Rhinolophus ferrumequinum: one gene and its partner. The protein of the gene in region 2 interacts with the protein of the main gene of each other region in a pairwise test. Links are inferred from orthologs where the notes say so. Each region holds a gene or a part of one and is shown on either strand. Other genes may lie near its edges.

Region 1 (7,000 bases), on a different chromosome or scaffold from region 2:
CCTGGAGCTGGCAGCTATTATGGAAACATCTTTAAGGGACAGACTCTCTTTGACTTGAACTACAATTTCCTGAAGACTCTTAGTAAACCAGTTGTAGGTTGTCATTTCAGAACGGGCTGATTGGACCCAGGGCCTAGATACGGGATACTTCTCCATGTGGAGAAAAAAAGCATTTTTTTTCCTTCTTTTTCTTTTCTTTTCTTTTCTTTCTTTCTTTCTTTCTTTCTTTTTTTTTTTTACAATTGATTGTAGATTCTCATGTGACTGTGTAAGGACTTATGTTTTATTAGCTCATATATGGGGGGGATGATGGTAAAAGGAACTAGAGTCGTTGTGACGGAGGAGATCTCTCTACTAATGAACGTGTTCACTTCATTACCATCCTAGATGTATGAGGCTCATGTCTTCATTTCCTTTACAATCTAACTGAAAGCACGTGAAAAGATGATGTACTTAAAAAGGTACAAAGTGTAAATTAAAGCAACAATGTTTGGGAATGCCTACTGTGTGACAAGTATTGCTTTGGATATAGTGGCTGTGATTTCTTGACAGCTAAAATCGTAGAGTAGCCAAAATCTTTAAGATGCTTGGATAGATAATAAATATGTACACAATTGAAATATAAAAAAATTTGACCCTAGTGGAATCTCGTAGTGCTTCAGCCTTTGATCTTTAATATGTATTTTTTTTTTAATAGGCTGACTTTATCTCTAAAGATGGTTTTATTCTCTTTATCCCTGACATTACATTGTAATTGGTTCACCCAATAGATAGGGTGAGACACGTAATTTTCAAAAGCACTTGAAACCTCTCCTTTTAGTAGATTTTAGGTTTCATATTTGATCTATTATAAATGTTTTTGAAATTAGGTACCAGCCAGGTTCCCTTTCCTGGAGGAAAGAGGGTGTAGAATAAATAAATTTTGCTAAGATCTTTACAGGTCAAGTAGCCTAGTAATTTTCTTAAGTCGCAGACACCCTAATGTTATAATTTGCTTTTTTTTTTTTTTTTTTTTTTTAAAGGTAAAAGTCTACCTGTTCTTCTCTTTATTCTGTTCTCATAAAAATTTTCTTCTCTGGGCACAGTCATTATATTTTCAGAACAGCTGAAGGGAGCCAACATTCAAATTTGCTCTTAATTTCTACAAATATAGAAAAACCTGCTGGGAAATGGATACTATGATTCTCTCCCTGTCTGCTATGTAATATTATCATAAATCATGTAAATGTAGGAGGAGGAGGGGACTTAGGTGATTGTTTAGCTCTGGAAAAGAAGCTACTTCCTGCAGAAAGAGGATTTCAAAAGGCCACATAACAAAGCCAGCACTCACACAGGTTTCCTGTGGGTCGTTTCCCTTTTGCTGAATCTCACCCGAAGCCAAGGTGACGGAAGAGACATTTTCCTCTTACAAAATCTCAAATCTCAGATAATTTATCGAGCTGATCACTATGTTCAAAAAGTTATAAAATCTAGGCTATTGTGAACTTCTGAAGAATTTTATGAACTTTTAAGAAGTTAATAAGATTTGTTTTGGAAATTAAGAGAAAAAGTAAGAGTCAAAATGGAAAAACTTAGATAAGCTATCACACTGATAAGCTATCACACTACAAACTTTAGAACACTGGAAAACTATATACCTGAAAGAATTAAGTTGTGACTATAGTATCTTAACTGCCATGATTTAAAACATTTTATCCCCAATTTTGTCCTTTTGGGACATACTTGAAAATGTTTCAAATTTGATTTTTAATCTTTATTTTTACTTTTAAAAACCTATAAAAATGTTTCTTTTCCTTCAAAATACAGATTGCCTAATAGATATTTAAAACCTTTTAATACTTCCCCCCCATGCATAACCCCAAGAAAATGAAAGTGCAGTAGTAATAGTACATCACCAATTAATATAGAAAAATGAAGGTTCTAATGTTTATTAATCTTAGCATTTTCATTTATGAATGGCCTGAAATGAATATAGGAAAAGTGGCACGAACTCTTGTTTCGCCTGTTATTGTGGTTAGTGGTGATTTTTTTTTTTTTTTGGTAAAAATTGTGGTATAATTACACTACATTTTAAAATGTTCACAATAAAAAGTTGATAAATATGAGGCAAATGGCCCCAAAACCCAGAGGACATTTCAGGGTATTTCCCCCATGTTATTCACTTGATTTAAGAAGGGAAAAGTGTTACAGTACAAATTGATGTACAAATTGTTCTAATAATTCCAGCAAAGCCCTTGGCTGTATGTTATGCTAAGCTACCTGGCTAGTTCTAGGCCCGTACCCAATAGTGACGTTAGACGCGAGCTAGGCCCCTGTGAAGTTGGGTGTCGCCCCCGTATCACTCACCCGGTCTGCAGGGGTAGGTTTTCCGCCTTTTCTTACCTGCATAGTGGTCAAACACGGTGGGCACATACTCCTCTGGGAAGGCATCATTGGCGTAGCTCATCAGCAGGCAGGTTTTCCCCACAGCACCGTCCCCCACCACCACACACTTCAACATCTTCTTCTCTTCTTCGGTGCCCCCGCAGCTGCAGCTGCTGTCATTTCCCTCCTTGCAGTTCATTCTTGCGGCTCCAGCTGTGGTGACTGAGCTGCTGCTGTTGCTTCTCCTGCTTCTCGCAAAGCCCATGGAGCAGCGGGCAGCCAGCGGCAGGCTTGAGATCACTTTGCCTTACTTTGGGTACCTGGGATCATACAAATTCGTCCTTGGCAGCTGGCATATGCCCTCTTGCTTATCATACTGGTAAGGAAAGTTAACACACACACTGACTTGGGAGAATTATTCAAAGGGACTGTCCCTTTTCCCTATCAGTTTGAGTTAAGAAACCCTCATTTTCACTGAATTCTAGGGATTTCCTGCCAATCTGGAAATTTCAACAGCTTGAGGGTTTCACTCTGCTCTCCCCCTTTCCAGCCTGGCTGAAGACACAGTGGAAGTTTGCTGAATCTTCCCCATTTTCCACTTCACATCTAACATGGAGGAAAGCTGGGCTTTTTAATGGAGTTTTCCCCTTGCTTCCTCCAGCTTGCCGAGTGTCAGGAAATCATGGGTTTCCTGCTGCATTCCATATTAGGATCAGTGGGCTGGGGAAGGCTGCAACAATGGGAGCTCTGTGTGTGTGTGTTTGTACTTCTGGGGAACGCTGCCAGAACATGGAGTGGGAAAACACTAGGGGTCCCAAAGCAGACTCAAGCTGTCAGGCTTCCTGTTTCGCGTCCGCTGCTGGGGGGGCTGTTTGCCTGTGGCTGGCTGGGAAGAGGCTGACGAAAGGATGGAAACTGGGGAGTACTGTCTGCCAGAGAAACGGGAATGGTTTAAGTGAGCAGAGCGAACCACACCAGCCGTTGTAGGATAACATATGACATCATCCCTCACTGAGTCACCAGTTAAAAGTTCTGCAAATTAAAAATGGACAGTTCTTCACATACTTAAATGAAAACCTTAAGCAATTCGTCCCTACAATAAAGAAGAAAACCAACACACAAGGGGATTTATAGATGATGTAATACAGAATTGTACACCTGAAATCTATGTAATTTTACTAACAATTGTCACCCCAATAAATTAAAAAAATATATAGTAATTTGTAATATGAATGATAAATCATGCAAATACAGTATTTTGCAAACTATCAAAAAAAGAAAAAAAGAAAACCTCCCAGAGTTACACTGTTTCAAAGGGGAACATTCTTGTAGATTGTAGGTATAATATGTGTGTTCAGGATTATACATTGCCACAGTTGAGCACAACACTCAAACAAACATGTGTTCCAGGCACAAACATTTTTATGGTTGTAGCACATAAGAAATCAGTCAGATGTGGGATATTTGCATCTTCTTATTAGTGAATAAACACACATGTGCTTGGCTCACCCTTACTCTTGGAAATGCGTGTGGGGGATGGCTTTATTAGTTTGTTTTAGGTCCCCAAATGCTGCTTTCACTTTGACGGTTCCCTTTTTGATTTAGTCCTATCCCCTTGGGTCAGCCTGGCCCTCTTCAATTACAAAGGAGCCACTGGCAGCTAATTTATTTGTCTGTTGGGTCACTCAGAATGAAGCCCCTTTGAAGCTCTGCATTTAATTAATGCACTTGGTCTTAGAAAAGAAGTGGAACTCTGCAAATGATTTTGACAATGGGTCAAGTCCCTTTTTGATGAAGGAGCTCTCTGTTTCTTTGAGATTTTTGAGCAGTGATTTTTAAGAATTCAGATTATCCAATTGATTTGAGGAGGGTTTTTAATTTTTTTTGGAGAGGGTGGGAGAGAAGTCTATTTTGATATGTGACTATTGATAATATACATGTATATATGTATACATATATGTGGCTATATATACATATATATGCTACTGTATAATAAATATAGGCCTAAATTTCTTCTGTTTTGAATTATAGTAACATTTACCACAGTGCTTAGTGTCCCAATATTTCTTTCCTAGAACGGGTTGATGTTTCAGTCAGGTTGTGGTATATCTACTAGGAGGTTATGTTGTTGTAACAACTCCCAAGGCTCAATGATTTAGAATAGCATGTGTATTTCTTAGTCACATTGTATCTGTATTGTGTTTTTTTGTCACCTTCATTCAGAGATCTAGGCTGGTGGAGCAGTCACGTTGAGACCATTGGGGGTTACTGTGGGAGAGGAAGAAATTAATGTGGTGAAGTGGCATTGGCTCTTAAAGCTTCCTTCTGGAGGTGATGCTTCTGCTCTCATTCATTGGCCAAAGCAAGTCATGTACCCATGCTGGGTTCAGCAGGGTCAGAAGTATAATCCTACCATGCTCCGGGAAGGAGAGAACTACATGTTGATGAATAGCCTGAATAGATTAGATATGGCTTAGGTAACCAGAGATCATTTAGTTGAGGTTCAATTAGGAGCGCAAAAATTGAATTGTTTATGATTGGTGCCATTCTGAGGCATTTGAAGACACCTGTGGCTGCATATGATTTATATAACTTTAGTTTCATTTAATCTACCTGAAAATGCCTGAAAAGTAGGCTCAAGTGTGCAAGTGGCAGCCAAACAAATCTGTGCAGGTGAAGAAGTGATTGACAGTGTCAAGAACTCCATCCTGAAGATGAACAAGACCACTCTGAGCACAATGTGTTTGGCAGAACTTTGAGGGAGTCTGCCTTTGACCTTGTCCCTGAGATCAGACAGTAAATGTGGCATGGAGTTCTCAAACATGGCTGCCCAGCCTGGATTCCTATACTATGAATATGCCCCTGCCCACTGAACCCTGGTCTAGGAAAAAATTGAAAAATTGGATCAGGTGAAATTTTGCTACATCCACATCTAACCTAAACCTTGTGCCATCAGACACAGGTGTTCACGTTTATGCAGATTGCTACGTGGACCATAATTTCAGAGACGTTTAGAAAACTTGAGGCAGCCAGTTATGGGTCTTTCACCTCTGGCTCAAAGGATTGGTACGTCTGCTGGATTGGATTGTATGCAGAGGTGGTTTGTGGCTATTGAGAATGTTGGCTATATTTCTCAAAATAAACTTGCTTCTTTATTCTTACTGCCCCCCAAATTGAATATGTATAGGGAAAAATGATTGAGACAGCCTAGAGAAAAATGGCAAAAAAGTTAAAATGTTAATAGCCTACTTATTATATAGCTCACCTTGTCTACGTGAGAACAAATATTTCTAAATATTAAATGATTGACCTGAACCCACAGTAACAGAATCTTAGAAAAAAGTTAAACACAATTCAGTATTGTTCTTCTAGGTCCACGAGTCCATAGAATTGTGACTACTTGTCCAGGTAGAATGATCAAGTATCTACTTTAATTCCAAAGGTTTATAGATAGGAATTTAGAAGTGGTTTGAAGACAATTTGCTAAAATATTCTTTACGAGATGCCTGTACTTTTAGGATCTTGGGCCATTTGAATGGTTGAGTGATGGTTTTATAGCCATTAATTATTTGGTTTACCTCAAGCACCAAGTTTACACAAACTTGCCAGTACATGGTGAAATCTTATTGGGCGGTATTTCCTGCTTTTTCTAAGAGTTCTTAATTCCATGGCTCCTTCTTGTCCTCTGAGCTTTGGCTTCACATGAATTTCCCCAAATGCCAACAGAGCATTTTTCTGCATAAAATTCTGACTCCTCTGATTGCTTCCAGTTTTATTGTGACCTAAAAAAGAGCCCAGACTTTCCTCCCCTATTTTTTTTTCTTTTGTGCTTGAAACTCAGTTATACAGGGAAATAATGCTGTTGGATCAAATACTCTCATTCTGGATTAGCCTCTATGTAGGAGATCGAGTTTTAGGAATGTGGGATGGGCTGTGCTTACTATGAGTCCGGATACCCAGCTCTGTCACAAGTCACCCTCATTTCAGAGGAACCCCTCTGTGGTGCCTGTATGGAAGTCAGGCCTTTCATGGCGGTGGATATGGTGTGAGGCAGGAGGAGCTGCTAGCGTAGAAGTTGTGGCCTGAATCTCCCACTGGGCCGAAACCTCAGGATCAGTTGGGGCACTGCTCAGACTGAACAGGCAGTCCTAGGACTAGTGTGGATAGGAACTGCCCCTCCCCAGGGGACAGTGAGTCATTGTCATCAGGGGCACTCATCCCTGAGCCTTTCCTTAACCTCAGAAATAATTCTACAGTTGATGCTGGTGTAACATAGCTCCTCTCACAGTTACGTTAGAAAAATAAAATGAGCATTTTGAGAAGTAGAGGGTTTTTCTATGAGGCAGTAGGGTAAGCCATCAAATTCAAGATGGTAGACTCTGCTCAAATGCTACCATTCTCCCCTTCAATGCCAGGGTAAATGTCATCATGACACATGTTCTAGCTGAATCTGGACATGGCTGACAAAGGCCTCTCAACCCAGCGCTCCAGGCGTCTACCACAATCTGATGGGCATGTCAAGTAAATCCTTTTCCAACCCTGCTCAGCCTTCACCAGACAGAGCAAGTAACTCTTCCTGTAATCAAGGAGGAAGGAGAAACAGTCGGTGGGCCATCTAACATTTAATGAACAACAT
Region 2 (7,067 bases):
TAAGGAGCTTAAAAAACTTGCCCAAAGTGACCATATAAATTTGAACCCCCATCTGCTGACTACAAAACAAAGACATTTTCCAATGTGACATGCAACCTCTTACACATCACTCTGAAGAACTGACTTACTCATCAGTTTACACATTTTCCTTTTCAAACACTGTAAGCTCCCTGAGGGCAGGCATCAACCCTGGTTTTGACCTCAGCATTTAGTTACTCAATACTTATTTGTTGAGTAAGAGAAGGAATGAAACTCCTTGAGAGTTGGCACCATGACTACGATTCTGAATATACTTCTTGCTTAACAAATGTAAGTGTGGTCTGATCTGTAAATCTTATTGCTGGATTTTTTTTTTTTTAAATAAACTGTGTTTCAGTACTGTTTTAACTACAAAAACTGCATAGTCATCAAAGGGAAAAAAAGATGGTTCCAAAAAATTAATACATCATTCTTACTTTACTCTCCAATAACCGGAGAGGTCGAATATTGAAGTTTATCTTCGAAATAATTTCATACCAGAAGAGCAGGTAACAGTGTGGTTTTATATGACAGAAATTCAAAAGGTAAAGTTGATTAATAATAGATGACATAAAGAAATTGAGCCCTGAATACAGAAAGCCTATTCAGCAACCAACTCACACTAACCAATAAGCAACACTCTCTTTCTCTAGCACAGTATTCTTCCACACCTGCCATTTATTGAAACCAGTAAACAGTACAGGTAAGCACAAAGCTATTAGTAAGTATACTTGCATATAAATCCAACGTCCTTCCTGCATAAAGCTAATGTGTCTGGTATGTAAAACACAGTCACAAACTACTTCCTTTCTGACACAGATTACATAGCAAATGTAATAAATCAGCAAAATTTTAATTATTTTTTTCTTTGCAGATAATTTAACATTCAAAGTGCTGGAGATTTTCCTAAATTGAACATATGCAAAAATTAGTGCTGCTTTAAGAATCTCACACTTTTTAATTTTATCTGGTGTTGGTAAAAAAAAAAAAATAAAAAATGATTATTTCTTTAACTTTTAGAAATAATAACAAGGGAGAACAAACCGTTCTCAAACAACATGATGTAGTGGAAAGTACACAGGCTAGGCATCAGGAGTCCTGGTTTTCTAGTTCTGGTTACATTACTAAATTGCTGTGTGACTTAGGGCTCACTGGCTCAGCTTTCTCATTTGTTTAAAAAAGCTGGTGGGGGGGAGGGAAACTTGAATATCTTTACAGTTGTTTCCTAAATTCTGATTTTAAGCCACTCCTATTTAATTCTTCTAATCAGTAAACTCCAAATATGTTCTTTAAGGTCTAACTTCTGAAATATGAAACACATCTGAATCGCCTGTAATAAATGGTTCAATCCCCAACTGGATGGGACAGAACACAAAGGGTAGACTCCCACCTATAAAGTTAACAATTAATCCGGTAACTTTCCAGAAACTGTCTAGTTCTAATTTCTTAAACAAGCAGGTGTAGCCTGGTTTGACATATTTAACACTACTAAGAAAAGTTGTAAAACTGCTCTGTTGACATTTCTGTAGGTGTTTCCTGGGTTCCAGCGGCACATATTCTGCAGGTGCTAACAAGCAAAGGGGCAAGAAATGGACTCAGCAGTTGCAACAAACTCAACCACAGTTCAACCCAGCCACCGCAGTAAGATGCAGCCTGACAAGGCCTACACCACAGGGCAGAACCTTCCCACCCCCAGGAGCGCCGGCAGCCAATGTAATGAATGCTTCCGTCAACAACACACATTCCCCTTCCCACAGCAGAACTGCTGGCTCCCAACCCGCCATCTGGGGTCGGAACAGGCCGCACACCACCAATCTAAGAATCGTTCTCCGGCCCCAAAAGGCCAAGAACTACTAGAGATTGCGGTTCCCCTGCGCATGGCAGTGGGGAGCGCAGTGCCTCCTCCCACCAATGCAAAAATAAATAAATAAGTGGGGAGGACAGTAGAAATCAGGCCTGGGCGAGAACGCTGGAGAAACAAACCGTTTCTCTGCAGTGGGGTACAGTAGCATTTCCTGCCCTCCTTTTGCACCCATGCACTGCACAGCATTCCCTCCTGAGATCCTAAAGGGGAACTGAAACCACCGTGTGGTCCGCTTCATTCATATCTGGGTTTCATTTCCTAACCTAACCACTCCTGAAACCTTTGGCACTGTGACGGAGGGGACCCCCCGATCAAGCGGGAGGAGGTGAAGCGAAGGCCAGGACAGGGGCCGGGTTGCTAAGATCCAGCAGCTCGTGCAAGAAAATCGCCTTTGGGCCTGAGAGTCAAGTTTGCACCAGCAGCAAGGGCGGAGGGCCGGGCCAAGCAGGGCTCCAAGACAGGCCTGCGGAGGTGACACTTCCCTGCTGCCGGTCAGCTCCGGGTGGCGGCGTTCGGCTGCCGGGGCCCGCACTGCCCGCACCTAGGGAGCGGGGCCAGGGCGCCCGTGCGGGGCCGGGAGAAGGCCTGGCCAGCAGCCAGACCCTCCCCGCGCCGCTCCCGCCTCCATCCCCACTCCCACTTCCCGGCCCGGGCCCGTGAGGTAACGTCGGTGGTGGCGACGCGGGTCTCGACCACTGACCACACATTTCTTGCCGAGGAAGGTGAAGAGGGACTCGTTCTCCTGCGGGGTGAGCAGCAGGGACCCCACGTTGGTGACCCTCCGCGGCGGCGGCTGCTGCTGCTGCTGGCCGGAGCTCATGGTGTCGCCGGCGGGGCTGGGAGTCCAGGTCCGTGTCCTCCGGCGAGTGGGCGAGCGCTCGTCCCCCCTCTCGGTGACAGGGGCGGGAGGAGGGGAGTCAGAGGCGCAGCATCTCGCTCAACTCCTCCGGCGCGGGGAGGAGGAGGGAGGCCACGGGAAGGAGGAGCCGACGGAGGGCCGCGCGGAGTAAGGGAAGCTCCCAACTCCCGCCCGGCTGGGCTCTGGCCGGATGGTCGCTGCCCTCGCACTCCGGCGACTGCGCTAAACTCCCAACTCCTCCTCCAACCCTCCTCCCGCGGCGGCGGCAGCGGCGGCGGCGGCGGCCGCACAATCCAACATGGCAGCGGGGGCGGGCGAGACCACAAGACGCAGGCCGCGGGGGAGCGCGCCGGAAACTCGGCTGCGGGCCGGGCCCGGGAGGAACCGCCCCCCCCCGCACGCGCCGCCGGCCTCGCCGCGCCGGCCCCGAGCCCCGCCCCTTCCGGCCGAGGCGCGGGCTGCGCGGTCTGATGCGAGGCTGTGGTGCGGGGTGCGGGACCAGCCTCTACTGTCGTCTCCCGGCTGCTGCGGCCCAGCGGCTGCTGTCTGGAGCGCAGAGGACGCTCGGCCCCGGCCCCGAGCTGCCGGTCCCTCTTTCACAGACGTCGACCTTTGCGAAGAGTCTGTGCGGACCCAGGCCCCCTCCCCGGAATGGCTCTGATTTCTGGGGCGCGGAAACCGGGACGCTCACACCGCACGGCAAGAAAGTCTGGAATGCGGACACGGGACACTGAAGAGAAGTGACGTGGTCCCCGGTGCTCCTCGCCGGTTTCGGTCAGAGCCGCAGGTGCCTGGGATTTCTTAAACTCTGTCCAAACTTCAATAGTGGGAGTGGAGGAACAAATAGGCCTCACCCAGCATTGTGAAAGGGAGATCTTGCTGATGGACGTTACAAAAAACAAACGCACTTGAGATTTCTACCGTCCGCCTGGCGTCTCCTCACATCGGATGAGTGTGTCTGTCACATGTAAATCCAAGATCTTTTCTTTTAAGGGTCCTGAACACGCCTTTTAACCCCTGTCTTGTGAATTGAAAAATATTCCTTTTTTCGCTTCTCATCTTTTTGTTTCTCTCAAACCCCGAAGACCTTGTTTTCTTCTTATCCAAAATGACTGTGCCCGTTTGGGGATGTCTGCCATACAGGAAAATACATCATCTGGTTTAATCGTCAGAAGTAAATCTCAGGAATTAAAAAAAAAGAAAAACTCGTATACCTCCAAATATTGAAAGTTACCCAAGATAAACTCTTCTGTTCAATAAATTTAATGTTCAACTTTTAAAACGAAGTTTTGGAATATGGAAATGATAAATACTACCCACAACAGTGAATTAGAATAAACATCTGACTTCTCCCCTTTAAACAAATCAGCATTTATTGGATAAACTTGAACCATCATGTTTGCTAATTACTCAATTTCAATAAAGTTCCCATATATTAAATTTAAGCCATCCTATGCCAAATAAAATTGGATGAAACTAATTGATTTTAACATCTCTGAGAGCTTCCAATACAAATCTCTGATGTACTAAACAGATTGATAAGCCATTATCAGTGCACTTTGAAAATATGAAACTTGAGAACTGCCCTTAATGAAGTTAAGTGGGAACAAATTGACAAAGGTAAATGCGGTCATGTAGTCCTGGGAGTCCTCACACAAAATATGGACATTTCAAAATTACATTTGATTAATAACGTTAGGGAAAATGTGATTTTTTAAAAAGCGAGTGGACTTTTAATAAAATAATTCAGTTTAGAAAAACAATAGTAGAAATGTCAACCTGGAGTTTCCTCTGAATTACAGAGCTAATAAAATAACCTAGAAGCTAAAGCAGTTAGTCTTGTATCAAACTTGAGGCTCCTATAAATTAAAACCGCAGTAATAGTGGAAAGCATTAGAAATGCTTGAGAAATGATAGAAATTAGATCCTTAGTATTTTCAAACCAGGATAGTAACAAAAATAAAGGCTTCACATAGGCCTAAGTTGGAGTTCTTGTTCTGCCATTTACAACCTTGTGGACTTTGGACAAGTTGCTTCTCTTAAGTCTTAGTTTCCTCATCTGTAAAATAGAAAATAATTTCTATTTAATAAAGGTATAGTATAAACATAATTAAACTTACCTCAAAGTTGTAAAACTTACCAGGATTACAATGTAAAGTACCTGCTACATCATGGTTACTCAAATATTACTTGTCTGTCACTCACCATCATTACCTATGGTCTACCTTACCTTCCCTTAGCTAAAGGTTCAAGAGTTGAGTTGAAATGGGTGTTTTTATCGTTATTCTATCTAAACCTGATACTTTGAAAACTGTCCTTCCTATTTAGAACTCTGCGTCATTCTCCAAATACATAGTGAATTTGGGGTATCACTTTGTGTTTGCAGAATTTCTAATTAGGGTATATGTTATGTCACATAGGCTCTATGTTCTCAGTATGCCAAAATTACAAAGCTTTTAAAACGAGAAATCTAGAGACAGAATCATATTAGTTTCTAATTAATAAAAAGTGAATGAGAGCAATTTTTATGTTGGAATGCCCGCTTTTAAAACTTGTAGTCCACCAAACCATTTTGAAGATAGTAGAAAGATGTGGAAGAGGGCTGTGAAAAAGAAGCTACGGGAGGATGGGTGAATGGACAGTAGCTATGCGTTGAAGAATCTATCCCACATGGAGAATCACTGGCTTCTAATCATTTCACAACCTCTTGTTAGCCTAAACTGTTTATTGTTTTAATTACTTTTTTTCCTTTGAGAAAATTTTTAAAATCTTATGTTTCTAAGTGAAATTTTCTGACCATTTGCCCGGTTCTTTTTTGCTTTAGAAATGAAGATGGAAAATTATAACCACCACAGGCTTTTTTTCTCAAGCCCAAACTGCTTCTTTAGCTTTTCCTCAAAATTTTAAATATGGTATTTTGTCCACAAAATTACAGTCTAAGTTCTTATTTTCAACTCCTTCATTGTTACTTTTGCTTTCATCTGGGCTTTTTTCGACTCCTTGTTCTTAAAATGTGGAAAATATAAGTGTGAACACTAAATGCGCCTTCCTTATTCTTTGGGACACGTGCACAGACAATATTTGGGGTTATCCCCCTTCCTATGCATACAAGGATTCTATTTTTCCATGTTCATCGTGAGACCAAGCAGTACTGGCTCTGTTTGTTCGAAAAGTTTTAGCAAGTCCTTTCTTTCTTTCATTCTTGATAGCATATCCTCTCTTCAGCCAAACACAAGACATCTTTCTCTCTGTTTTCTTTGGCAAGTTATTTTCTTATCTCAAATTCTTTTTACCCAGTTTGAGAAATTGGATTTGATCCAGGAAATAAGAAGGATTCTATTTCCCTTCAAGTGAGTATGTTGAAGTTTGTAACCTAGGTTAAGAATACTGTAGGGATTCTATCTTCATATACCTGTAAAATGCACATGCTGTATTATGAATACAACTAAGAATAAGGCAATTTTTAAAAGTTCTTCCACTTGACTTTCTTTGATTCAGAATCTATTCTAGTACTTTCATTTTCTTCTTTCTTTGCTACGATCCTTTAAACTACAGTCCTCATTTTTAACAAAACATTAGGATACCTTATTTATGGAAAGGAGGGCATATTTTCAGATGCATTCCCTGCCGTTATTATACATTGTAAATTTCTCCTATCCTGGTCCTTTGTTAATCCACTTTACTTCTTTACAAATATCATTGTTTATGTACTGTTACAAGTCCTCTGAAACACCCTGTTCCCCTTGCTAATATTAATAATTTAAACTGTAGTGACACCCATCATTGTAGGGGAATATAGAGGCAGCTGCACCCAGGGATCTTGGCATTCAGCAGCCGTGGCCAATTAGCAGGACTGACTTAACTATTACTGCTTGACTGGCAGAACTGAGTTATAGAGACAACAGCAGCGAGCGCGGATATGGCAAGGGGGTGATTGTCCCTTCTCCCTTGCAACCTTCAAGTGTCATGGGTTTAGAATGTTCACATTGTAAAACATCTTCACATTTTCATGTAAATGTTGCATGTGGCAGTGTTTAAGAGAATTTGTCTTGGTACTTGTTTTCCCAAGTTATATGTTAAGTATTTTAATTGTCATCAACTGAAATCTTGAAAAGTAAGCTACCAAACTGTTTTTCTCTCCCTTTTCAATTCATTTTGAATACAAGCCTCTTTGGGACTTTCTTTTTTAGGAATGGATAGTTTATTTACAACCCATTCTGATTTCTTAGTGTTAGTGGAACATTAAATTCTTACTTATGGTAGTGAATTACCAGTGATGGTAACTACCACGATATGGCCTACTCTCCAGATACCTAATGCATGCCT

What was found.
Region 1: the proteins of WASL (region 2) and RHOJ interact in binary tests that used the Homo sapiens proteins (3 or more experiments, as listed by UniProt). The two-hybrid records come from large-scale screens. The link is inferred for Rhinolophus ferrumequinum from reciprocal best matches to the Homo sapiens genes WASL and RHOJ.

Annotation. Positions count from the first base shown.
Region 1 is NC_046289.1:32,317,103-32,324,102, forward strand, and holds the start of RHOJ (rho-related GTP-binding protein RhoJ), read right to left. Parts: upstream 3,045-7,000; 5' UTR 2,630-3,044; coding exon 2,383-2,629; intron 1-2,382.
Region 2 is NC_046309.1:20,783,328-20,790,394, reverse strand, and holds the start of WASL (actin nucleation-promoting factor WASL), read right to left. Parts: upstream 3,047-7,067; 5' UTR 2,703-3,046; coding exon 2,583-2,702; intron 1-2,582. UniProt on the Homo sapiens protein: Regulates actin polymerization by stimulating the actin-nucleating activity of the Arp2/3 complex. Involved in various processes, such as mitosis and cytokinesis, via its role in the regulation of actin polymerization.